Macaca fascicularis: one gene and its partners. The protein of the gene in region 1 interacts with the protein of each later gene in a biochemical or structural test. Links are inferred from orthologs where the notes say so. Each region holds a gene or a part of one and is shown in the gene's direction. Other genes may lie near its edges.

The links.
Region 2: of the proteins of CUL2 (region 1) and DCUN1D4, one has a biochemical effect on the other in vitro, tested with the Homo sapiens proteins (2 studies listed by BioGRID, with this or other methods). The link is inferred for Macaca fascicularis from reciprocal best matches to the Homo sapiens genes CUL2 and DCUN1D4.
Region 3: the proteins of CUL2 (region 1) and CDC34 form a complex in vitro, tested with the Homo sapiens proteins (2 studies listed by BioGRID). The link is inferred for Macaca fascicularis from reciprocal best matches to the Homo sapiens genes CUL2 and CDC34.

The regions. Positions count from the first base shown.
Region 1 is NC_088383.1:35,782,029-35,785,373, reverse strand, and holds part of CUL2 (cullin-2), read left to right. Parts: intron 1-1,956; coding exon 1,957-2,058; intron 2,059-3,345.
Region 2 is NC_088379.1:82,041,748-82,045,396, reverse strand, and holds part of DCUN1D4 (DCN1-like protein 4), read left to right. Parts: intron 1-2,857; coding exon 2,858-2,928; intron 2,929-3,087; coding exon 3,088-3,127; intron 3,128-3,649. UniProt on the Homo sapiens protein: Contributes to the neddylation of all cullins by transferring NEDD8 from N-terminally acetylated NEDD8-conjugating E2s enzyme to different cullin C-terminal domain-RBX complexes which are necessary for the activation of cullin-RING E3 ubiquitin ligases (CRLs).
Region 3 is NC_088393.1:1,084,839-1,088,587, forward strand, and holds the start of CDC34 (ubiquitin-conjugating enzyme E2 R1), read left to right. Parts: upstream 1-1,033; 5' UTR 1,034-1,205; coding exon 1,206-1,382; intron 1,383-3,749. UniProt on the Homo sapiens protein: E2 ubiquitin-conjugating enzyme that accepts ubiquitin from an E1 ubiquitin-activating protein, and catalyzes its covalent attachment to other proteins by an E3 ubiquitin-protein ligase complex. In vitro catalyzes 'Lys-48'-linked polyubiquitination.

The DNA.
Region 1 (3,345 bases):
TAATGTCAGCACTCAATTAACTATCATCTGTTTTTAACCACCATATATTTTTGATGCCTGTCACAAGAATAACAAGCCATTAGTATATTACTTTTTTTCTCTGTAACTTTTTTTCTAGTTACAAGATTTCATTGTTTTGTTTTCATAGTATATCCTAGATGTTTAAATAGTTAAAAATGCAACAGAGGTGGGATTATATCTCCTTCAAATTATTGTGCTTGTAAGAAAAAAATTTCTATAAATAATGTTTTGTTTTTATTTTGGTAAAGTTAATAGCCTACGGTTTATTTCTCTCATCAATTCATTTTGCTGACATCCCGAAGATGATGATGACATTTTATAGTCTACAATTGAACAACTGTAAAAGGCATATATTCTGAAATTCAAATCAATGTTTTCATAATTTTGAGAAATGATTTTTCTGGCATCAGAATCTTAGCAAAATACGGAATTTCTTTTTTTTTTTTTTTTTTGAGACGGTGTTCCACTCTTGTTGCCCAGACTGGAGTGTAATGGCGTGATCTCGGCTCACTGCAGCCTCCACCTTCTGGGTTCAAATGATTCTCCTGTCTCAGCTTCCTGAGTAGCTGGGACATGCCACCATGCCCAGCTACTTTTGTATTTTTAGTGGAGATAGGGTTTCACAATGTTGGCCAGGCTGGTCAGGCTGGTCTGGAACTCCTGACCTCAGGTGATCCACCCGTCTTGGCCTCCCAAAGTGCTGGGATTACAAGTGTGACCACCGTGCCTGGCCAAAATAGGGATTTCTTAAGGTTAATTAATTATGGTTTTTAATTTTAGGCTAGTAAATGCTTGAAGGTTTTATATTTTTTTTCTAAAACATGCTGCCCAGAAATTGACAAAGTAAACATAGATTCCTTGTTTGCACTTTAAATTTTATTTTATATTATTTTTTATTTGTTTTTAAGGTGAGATCTCATTGTACCACCCAGGTTGGAGTGCAGTGGTGCCATCTCAGCTCACTGCAACCCCCACCTCCTGGGCTCAAGTGATAATCCCGCCTCAGCCTTCCAAGTAGCTGGGACCACAGGTGTGAGCCACTATGCCAGGCTAATTTTTAAATTTTTAGTAGAGACCGGATTTTGCTGTATTGGCCAGGCTGGTCTTGAACTCCTGAGCTCAAGCACTCTGCCCACCTCAGCCTCCCAAAGTGGTGAGATTATAGGCGTGAGCCACCATGCCTGGCCTTTTAATTTAATTATGAATCCGTCCATTCCTTAGCAGAATGTATTAGATTATTATTGAGAATTAGTTCATCTTCCAAATGCCTTTTGATCCTTCTGCCAGAGAAATTCCACCCTGTGATATCAGTGGCTTTCTTAAGCCTGATATGGAAGTTGTTATTCTAAAAATTGGCTTAACAGTTTTCCTCTGAGCAAAGGCCACTTGCTTCTTGAAGAGTGAATAAAAGATGGATTGAAGTAAACGTTTTCACCATCACCCCAGGTCACGGCAAATTGATGCTGTGTGCTACTGGAGGCACAGCTTTCTCCTGCCATCAGGTCATTTACAGTGGGTATTTTGTTATTGCAGCATTTGTAAAAAAAATTTGGTTGGTTTTTCAGAATGGGGTGATGGAAAAGTTATGAACTTTGGTGTTTCATAAAAATTAAAATGTCAAACTCTAGGCAATGAGCTTGACTCTTTTATCAAAAAGTAGTGTGTATGTAATAGTAGGACCAGCAAATATCTTATTGCCAAATATAAACTGCTTAAGATTCTGGCAGATGTAAAAGTAGAAAATAAAATTGGGTTTTTCCTGTTTGTTTGAACAAAAGAATTATTTTTCTCTTAAATTTGGTAATCTATAATATAAAAGTTATAAGAGTGGAGACTTTTTTGCTTGGTCATTCATTTAGTGGAATTGCTTGCAGCAAGCTCTTATTTATAAGATTTTGGTTTTTGTAAATATAAATGTTTTATTTTTAAATGTAGGAAGATATTGATGCAGAATCTTCATTTTCATTAAATATGAACTTTAGCAGTAAACGAACAAAATTTAAAATTACTACATCAATGCAGAAAGACACACCACAAGTAAGTGTTTTTAATGTCAAGTTTTTTTGAGGGGGAAACATTTAAGCATTGGACTTTACAAGTGTTTACACTGAGATTGTGCAAAACATTGCACAGCAAACTTAATAGTGGGGTATGTCTTTTCTGGTTTGTTGTTGGCATTTATTAACCTTACAATCAAACAGAAATCTCTACTTGTTTTTTAGTTTTTTCTAAGGAAAAGAGTATGGTTTTGTTGTATTTGCTCTTAAACCACTAGAATGTGTAACTTTACATTCTCTCCGAAAATTCCCACATTGAGAAGTAATAAAATTTCATATTTTTCATTTGTAAAATAAGGGAAAGTTCTACAGCTTTTTTTTTTTTTTCCTGAGACGGAGTCTCACTCTCTCACCCAGGCTGGAGTGCAGTGGTGTGATCTCGGCTCACTGCAAGTTCTGCCTCCCAGGTTCACGCCATTCTCCTGCCTCAGGCTCCCGAGTAGCTGGGACTACAGGCGCCTGTCACCACGCCCGGCTAATTTTCTTTTTGTATTTTTAGTAGAGACAGGGTTTCGCCGTGTTAGCCAGGATGGTCTCCATCTCCTGACCTCATGATCCGCCCGCCTCCCAACGTGCTGGGATTACAGGTGTGAGCCACCGAGCGTGGCCTACAGCTCATTTGTTTCAAAGAAAACTTGTCAGTAGAGAATGCTTCTTAAACTTTTATATGCAAATGAGCCACCTGGGCATCTTGTTCAAATGCAGATTGTGATCTAGTGGGTGTGGAGTGAGGTCCTAACAGGCCAGTGTGAGGAGGGGACCTCGGCTCTTCATTCTTTTAACTTAGCAGTGATTGTTGCTTTGGTCTAGGATAGACTGTTACTATCACTCATGCTTCCTGATTGCCTTCCGTGTGCAGTCCTTGGGCTGGTGCAGGATGTGAAGATAATATAAGACATTAGACCCTCTCCAGAAACGTAATTCCCCATGGGGGAGACAAATATTAATTGCGATTCACTTTGAAACCTAAAATGGTCAAGATTCCATTTTCCTCCAGGCTAATACATAAATATATAGATTGTATTTTGTCTTTGAAAAGCTATGAGGAGATCCTATTACTGTGGCATGGCCTGCTTCTATGCCTTGCTTCTCCTGTGTTTCTTGAGCTCCGTGGAGATAGGCCCCCTCTCCTGGCTTCTCTGCTTGAGCCACATAAAATGGCACTTCACAGCTGTTCTCTTTGAAGCCTGATCCAGTATGCATTTGGAGCTAATTACCGCAGTTGACACAACTCCATCTAAAAGCATCGTGATACAGATTCTGTAAT
Region 2 (3,649 bases), on another chromosome or scaffold:
CATGGTGAAAGCAGGAGAGAGAGAGAGGGTGAGAGGAGGTCTCACACACTTTTAAATGACTGAACCCCATGAGAACTCACTGACTGTCTCAAAGACAGCACTAAGCCAGGAGGGATCCGCCCGCATGATCCAAACATCTCTCACCAGGCCCCACCTCCAGCATTGAGAATTACAATTCAACATAAGACTTGGATGGAGATATATCCAAACTCTATCACCATCATAGGCTATAAAGATGTACCAGGCCACCTGCCTCAATTACAGAGGAAGCTCTGACCTTGGGATCATTAATGTGAGGCGAGAATTGGACTGAGGAAAAGTTAGAGACTATTTTAGACAGCTGTGTGGTATGGAGAATGGTATAAGTAAATATAGTGGGAATTGATGTCTTTTATTGAGCACTTACTATGTTCCAGGTATTGTAATGGGTACCTGATATACCTAGGCGTTGTAATAGGTGTCTGATAAATATTTTCAACCACACAACAACGTTATGAAGGAGAATTTTTTATCCTCATTTTACAGATGAGAAAATTGGGAATTAGGTTAAATAACTGGTAGACCTGAGATTTGAACCAGCTGTTAAGACTCCAGACTCAGGTTGTGAAGCAAAGTGGATTTTTGACAGGAATAGAGTGGTTGTGTGTGTGTGTGTGCGCGCGCATGTGTGGGCACACATTATGTGTAGGAAGGGCAGTGGGCAGAATGTGGGGTTGGAAGGAAGGGTTTTGTGGAGTGGGGTGGTGAAGATATTTGGAGTATGAGTTGGGCCCAACCCACGAAAGTCCTGGAATTCCAGATTGAGGATAACTTGTTTCTTGTCTTGTCTACTTCTTCCATATTTATATAAAGGAGGGAGAAACATACAACAGTTTTGGTTTATTTAGATTCTCTTATGGAAATTTTGGGAGTTGAATTAACAGCAGGGTGGTGAAATGACAAAAGCATAGCCTGGAGAGTTAGAAGAGACCTCATTGCTGGAATAGCTTTTAGCAAGCCCCTTTTTCTCTCCCCTCCCTTGTCCTCGGTGAAAACAGAGTGCAGAGCCTAAAGTTTTCTGTTTTTGCTTTTTGTCTTTTTGGTAGCCCAAGAGTTTAACTTCATATATTAAGGTGATAATGGAATGTATCATTTGTCTTCCTATATTTAATCTGAGAGAGTACAAAAAAGGGGCTATGGCTTGGTAGTAGATCAGGTGGAGGTGCAAGAGTTGGATGTTCAAGCTCCTCAGCACCTCTTGCTGGTCCTGAGATGCCTCTTGCTGGCGAGAGGGTTGTTGCTTCTAGCTTCTACCCTGTTCTTGTTTAGTAAATATAAATGTCAATAAATAAGTATACAATGCACATACTTTTCTAAACCTCTGTGCAGTTGTATTTAGATGAAAAATCCAGATTCTGAGCCACATTATGTCATCATTTACCTTAAGCATGGCTAGGCTATTCGGATGCTAAGAAATTCATGCATATCTGTATTGGAGGGCCATTTAGAGCTTGAGGCCCTGCTCTGGCTGTCTCTCAGCACAAAACGCTGGTTTTTGGGACCATTCTAGATGGCTATGACTGTGAACAGTGCACATGCACGTGTATGTATACAGGTATGGCCTGCTGTTCCTGACACCGCATGTGAATGTTAGGGGCTCTGCTTCTGCCAACCCCTCTGCCCTGCAGACCTACTCAGAACTGGATGCCCAACAAGCTTTAGAAGAGAAAGTAAAGCGTTCTAACTGTGAACAGGGAAGCCAGCTTGCTTTCAGGGTTCAGAGTAACAGCCCAGAGGATCCAGCCCAAGCACAGACACCTGATGTAGCACCTGCTCTTTGGGTCTGTTCTTTGGATCTGATACGTGTCCTCAATAAAATGTTTCAGTAAAGAGTGCTTTTTTCTTTCTTTCTTTTTATCAGAATGGTATAACTTGGAGAGTTACAATATCTTTTCATGGTCATTTTCATACTAACCTTTACTAATAGGAAAGAAGGAACTAATGTAAATCCTGATATTTTATGAAAATACTTCCAGTGGTGCTTACATATGAAATTATTAATAAACTTTCAGCTTACATTTTTATTGCCTAATATGTATGCAAACATACTTTACTTGAAGTTGAGGATGCGTGTGGTGGCCCACACCTTTAATCCCAACATTTTGGGAGGCTAAGGCGGGAAGATCACCTGAACACAGGAGTTCAAGACCAGCCTGGGAAACATAGAAAGACCCTGTCTCTACAAGAAAAAAAAGAAAAGAAAAATTAGCCGTGCATGATGGTGCACACTAGTAGTCCCAGCTACCCTGCAGGCTCAGGCAGATCACTTGAGCCTGGGAGGTTGAGGCTGTTTTTGCGCCACTGCACTTCAGCCTGGGCAACATAGTGAGATCCTGTCTCGAAAAAAAAAAAAGAAAAAGAAAAAAGAAATACTAATGTTGAGATGCTTTTCTATCATTTTCTTGCCATGAGCTTACTTAATTATACCAGTATTTCTAGAGAAGAGAGGGGAAAGTGAACATTTCATTTGAGACTAATCTGTTTTTATGATTTGTTTAATATGCTAACATTGATGTCTTTCTATTAAGTTCAAGTTCACTGCTGACAGGATTTTACAACTACTGAAGTATTTTTTGTTTTACCTTAGAATTCACATGAAAATTTCATGAACTTTAACATTTGGTTGGGAATTTAACTTTGTTGTCAGACTATTTCTAGGAGGTAGGTCACTAATTGCATGTTTTTAAAACAATTTAGTGTCAGGTTAATTGAGATAGTATTTAATTATATCAAAACATTTGCTTATTTTCTGAGTTTGTTTTTTTTTTTATGATATTGGAAATAAATGAGGCTGACTTTTTTCCTTTTTCTTTTCAAGATTTTCAGCTGAACTCTCATCTCTCAACACTGGCAAATATTCATAAGATCTACCACACCCTTAATAAGCTGGTAAGTCATTCTTTTAAAGACAAAATTACCAACTGTTTGAAGTAGTCATTTTGTGTAAGAGTATTTGATAAAAATTTAGATTCTAGATACTAGGATATCAGTTTATGAGAATGCTAACGGTGTGTGATTTGTTGGTAATAACGAACATATTTCTTTCAGAACCTAACAGAAGACATTGGCCAAGACGATCACCAAACAGGTATCTGTAAATGCTAACACTACTTAATTTTAAATAACTTCTTAATGTAAAATTAAGAAAGAGAAATACTAGCTATGAATGTGCTGTATTGTCATAATGTACTCCATTAACAAGTTGTTCCTTGGCTGAGGTTGTTTTTCAGGGAGTAATGAAGGCAGCCATGTTATAGCTTCTTCCCAGTAGGAAATCTCTTGTGGAAGCACTTTTTAATGCCTTTAAAGAGGCTCGAGATTCTCTTGAATAATTGTTTCAAGATACCATTTTTTCTCTACTGCAGTATTTTCATTTATACTAAAAAGGTGCTACAGTAATGCAGTTTGGAAGGTATTCCACAAATATTTGAGAAATTGAGCTGAAAAATGATTTAATGTGTGTGTATGTATGTGTTTATAGTTACTGAGGATTTAGGAATCGGAAAATTGAAGCTTGATTAGTGTAAGGTGTCCTCTAAGTCTGTGGTTCTCAGAGTTTAACTGGCATTATAATCACCTGCGGGGAGGCCTTGTTTAAAGTACAGATGTT
Region 3 (3,749 bases), on another chromosome or scaffold:
GAATCTCAGCTACTCGGGAGGCTGAGGCAGGAGGCTCCCTTGAACCCTGGAGGTGGAGGCTGCAGTGAGATTGTGCCACTGCGCTCCAGCCTGGGCGACAGGGCGAGACTGTCTCAAAAAAAAGACTTGGGTGGGACAGAGGTCAGGCTGGGAGGAGGGCACAGCCAGGCTCAGGCTCAGCTTGGGGTGGGGGCTCCGTGGGGCTGGCGCCTCTCCCGGGTCAGGTGCTGAGCCGATGCTGGCTGGGGGGAGCCTCTTTCCCAGTTTCTCTGGGGGGCAGGAGCACCTTGCCAACCTCTGATGGCTCCAGCACCTGCACCCGCCTCACACCACATGGTGACTTCAACGGGGGACCAGGAAAGCCCTCGCCCCCTCCCGCCCTCAGAGCCCTCCCCGACCTCGCCCACTTCTCAGAGCTCCCGCTGTCGGGGGAACCGAGGCAGCGCCGCGCCTGGAAGCCGGGTCTGCACACCCCGCCTCGCTCCCGCTCCTCCCCTCCGCGAGGCCAGCGCGCCCCAGGACAGACTCAGCGCCCGTCCCCTGTATAGACGGGGAAACGGAGGCGCGGACGCGGGGTCGCGCCGGGGGAACCGGCCCTGCCCCTCCGGCCCCGGTCAGGACCTCGCCCCGCGCCCCGTTCACCGCCCGCAGCCCCGCCCCACGCCGGGACGTCACAAAACGACCCCAAAGCTGGGGGACCGGGCCAGCCACGGCCAGAGCAGCCCTGCCCGCCTCCGTGCGCACAGCGTCCGCGGTACTGGTCGAGCTGGGGGCGACGGCGGCGGCCTCGGGGATCGGAAGCGCCCAGGGTTGCGCGCTCGAACCCTCCCTCCCGGCGGCGGCGCTCGGCGCGGTAGGCGGAACCGGGACCGGGACTCCACTTCCCGGCGTGCCCCGCGGGCGGGCGCGCAGGCGCAGGTCGGGCCTGGCCGCGGCGCGCAGGCGCAGTCGGGGCCGGGCGGAGCGCGCAGGCGCAGCGGGGGGCGGGGCGCGCGGGCCGGGCCAAGGCGAGCGCTGGTGGGGCGGCGGCGCCAGAGCTGGTGGAGCGCTCGGGGTCCCCGGGCGGCGGCGGCGGCGCAGAGGAGGAGGCAGGCGGCGGCCCCGGCGGCTCCCCCCCGGACGGCGCGCGGCCCGGCCCGTCTCGCGAGCTCGCGGTGGTCGCGCGGCCCCGCGCGGCGCCGACCCCGGGCCCCTCCGCCGCCGCCATGGCCCGGCCGCTAGTGCCCAGCTCGCAGAAGGCGCTGCTGCTGGAGCTCAAGGGGCTGCAGGAAGAGCCGGTCGAGGGCTTCCGCGTGACCCTGGTGGACGAGGGCGACCTGTACAACTGGGAGGTGGCCATCTTCGGACCCCCCAACACCTACTACGAGGGCGGCTACTTCAAGGTGAGCGCGGCGACCCCCGCCCGGGTCCCTGAGCCCACGAGCGACCTCGGGCGCCAGGAACCAGCTCCCTGCCCCGCGGTCCCCGGGCGGGCCCGGCAGCCTCCTGGCTTGGGCTCGCTTCCCTTCTATGGCCGGGTCTCCCCACCCAGCTGTGCCCGGCCCCCTCCTCGGACGGTCCCGGGGACCTTCAGCCTCTGCTGCGGTCCCCGAGAATTCTCAGTTTCCTTGAAGGCACCGTCCGGTCCCCGGGTAGTCTCCTGGCCCGCAGAAGGGTGGCCCGGGGCCCTCCCGGTATCATCTGCGCGTGGGGCTCTTGCCCACCTCCTTCCTGGGGGGGGCTCGACCCCGGCTGCCTCCCCCTCCGCCCTTGCGAGAAAGAGGGAGCGGAGCCCAGGCCGCCCCGGCCTTTCTGCTGCCCTCCCCGCCCTCCCCGGAGGAGACAAAGAGGCCCCCCCCAGACCCCGCAGCTGCTATTGTTGGGGAGCTGGGCCTGTGAGCGGGGGAGCGAGGCCAGCCTGGGGGTGGCTGGCGCGGCCACTCGCTCAGGCTCCAACAAAGGCCCGGATGAGCCTTGGCAGCCGGGCCCTGCCTGGAAAGCGGCCACCCTTGCCGATAGCAGCCGGCCAGGCGCCCTGGGCTCCATCCCCGGGTTTATGTAACCTGCGCCCTCGGGAAGGCTGAGGCAGGGGCGTCCCTCCCACCTGCTCCCTGCAGCTCTCCCCGGGCCCCCGGCTCCGGCCCGCGTCCCGGACCCCGACCTCAGAAGCTCCGGGCTGCTTCATCCCAGCTGGCCTTGGCCTTTCTCAGATTCCACTGAACAGGTGGCTTCCTGTGACCCCAACCCCGAGTTCTGGGCCATTCCTTCTGCCCTCTGGCGGTTTCATTCCAAGCAGGTTCTTGATGTTTTTGTTGCCGTTGGGAGCAGGGAGACTGTTTCTGTCCAGTGTGGAAAGGACTCAGGCCAAAGCCTGGCCAGTTTTCTTGATCTCACGATCCAGACGTGACCTTTGGCTCTTGTAGAGTTCCAGGACCTCGTCCTTGGGGCCAGAGGGACAAAGTGAGGGGCCCCGTGTGAGAGGTGGGGATCGCGCACCCTGTCCAGGAATCCCCCCTCCCGCTGTCGCTGCCTGCCAAGAGCCTGGGCACAGCCGGGCCTGCTCTGCCCCGGCCAGCTGCGGGCATGGGGCCGAGGGACCGATGCCTCTCAGAGCGTGTGCTCTCCGGGCTAATTAATGTCTGAACCGCGCGCGCTCAGCGGCTGTGAGGGCAGCAGCCTGGTCTGCTGGGGGCGATTCCTGAGCTGAGGTTCTGGGTTACGGCAGAGGGTGGGACGTCCGTGGGTTGTGCATCTGGAATCGTGGGTCCCCACACAGGGAACAGAGTTTGAGCCTTGAGGTTGTCAAATGGTTTTAGCAGCCCCCTCCCCCAGCCCCTTTTTTCTGCTTGGGGGAGCAGCTGGCTGTGAGCAGGGGCGGCCCCACCTCGAGGCCAGGCCTGTGAGGCGGCTGCTGTTCTGGAAGGAAGGGATGCGGGTTCCTGGCTCCTGCCCACCAGACCGGTTGCCAGGGATTGTGGGCAGAGCCTCCTGGACCAGCATTAGGGGATAATCCGGTTTTCCGGATTTCCTGGGGAGGGGGCCTCTAGACATCTGCCGCAGGGTCAGTCCTCAGAGGCCAGCGTTGAGACGCGGGGGGGTGCTGCCACCCACCGGGGCTCTCCCTTCCCCGTGTGCCTGGGAGGGAGTTGGGGGAGCGTGGAAATACAGGAGCTGCTGAGTGCCCAGGGCCACCGCTGCTGCCCAGCCACTGCCTGCAGCCGCTGTTCCTTCAGGAGCCAGAGCGAGCCCTGGGGCAGGGGCCACCAGAGAGAGCCCTCCACGGCGGACTTGCCGTGTGCCATCGGCGGGGGCTTTGCTTCTCGGAGCCTGGGTTTGCTCCGGGTAAAAGACATGTTTGGAGGTGCTGAAAATAAGAGGTTTGTTGGGACTTGGTGGGGTTCGGTGCAGGTGAGGCCGCCTGGAAACCCAGCACCAGGCTTGGGGGGCCCGGAGTCTTGGGGAACTGCTGGGCAGTTCTGAGCCTGAAGTTCCAGCCTTGCTCTGTGGCTGTGGCCAAGTCCCTTACCTCATGGGGCCCCAGTGAGTTCCCTGTCAAACAGAGGACACCCCCAAGACCCCTGAGAGCCCTCCCTGTCCAGGAAGGACCTCGCCAACAACTGCTCTTTGGGGGTGCTGCCCTCAGCCTCTTGGAGTGCTGAGTGCCACCAGGACCCCTGACCCAGACACCCCCGTGCCTGGCACTGGGGCCCAGGAAGGAAACAGTGAGGCTTCCTTGTTTACCTGTTGGGGCCCAGGAGGGCCGTGGGTGG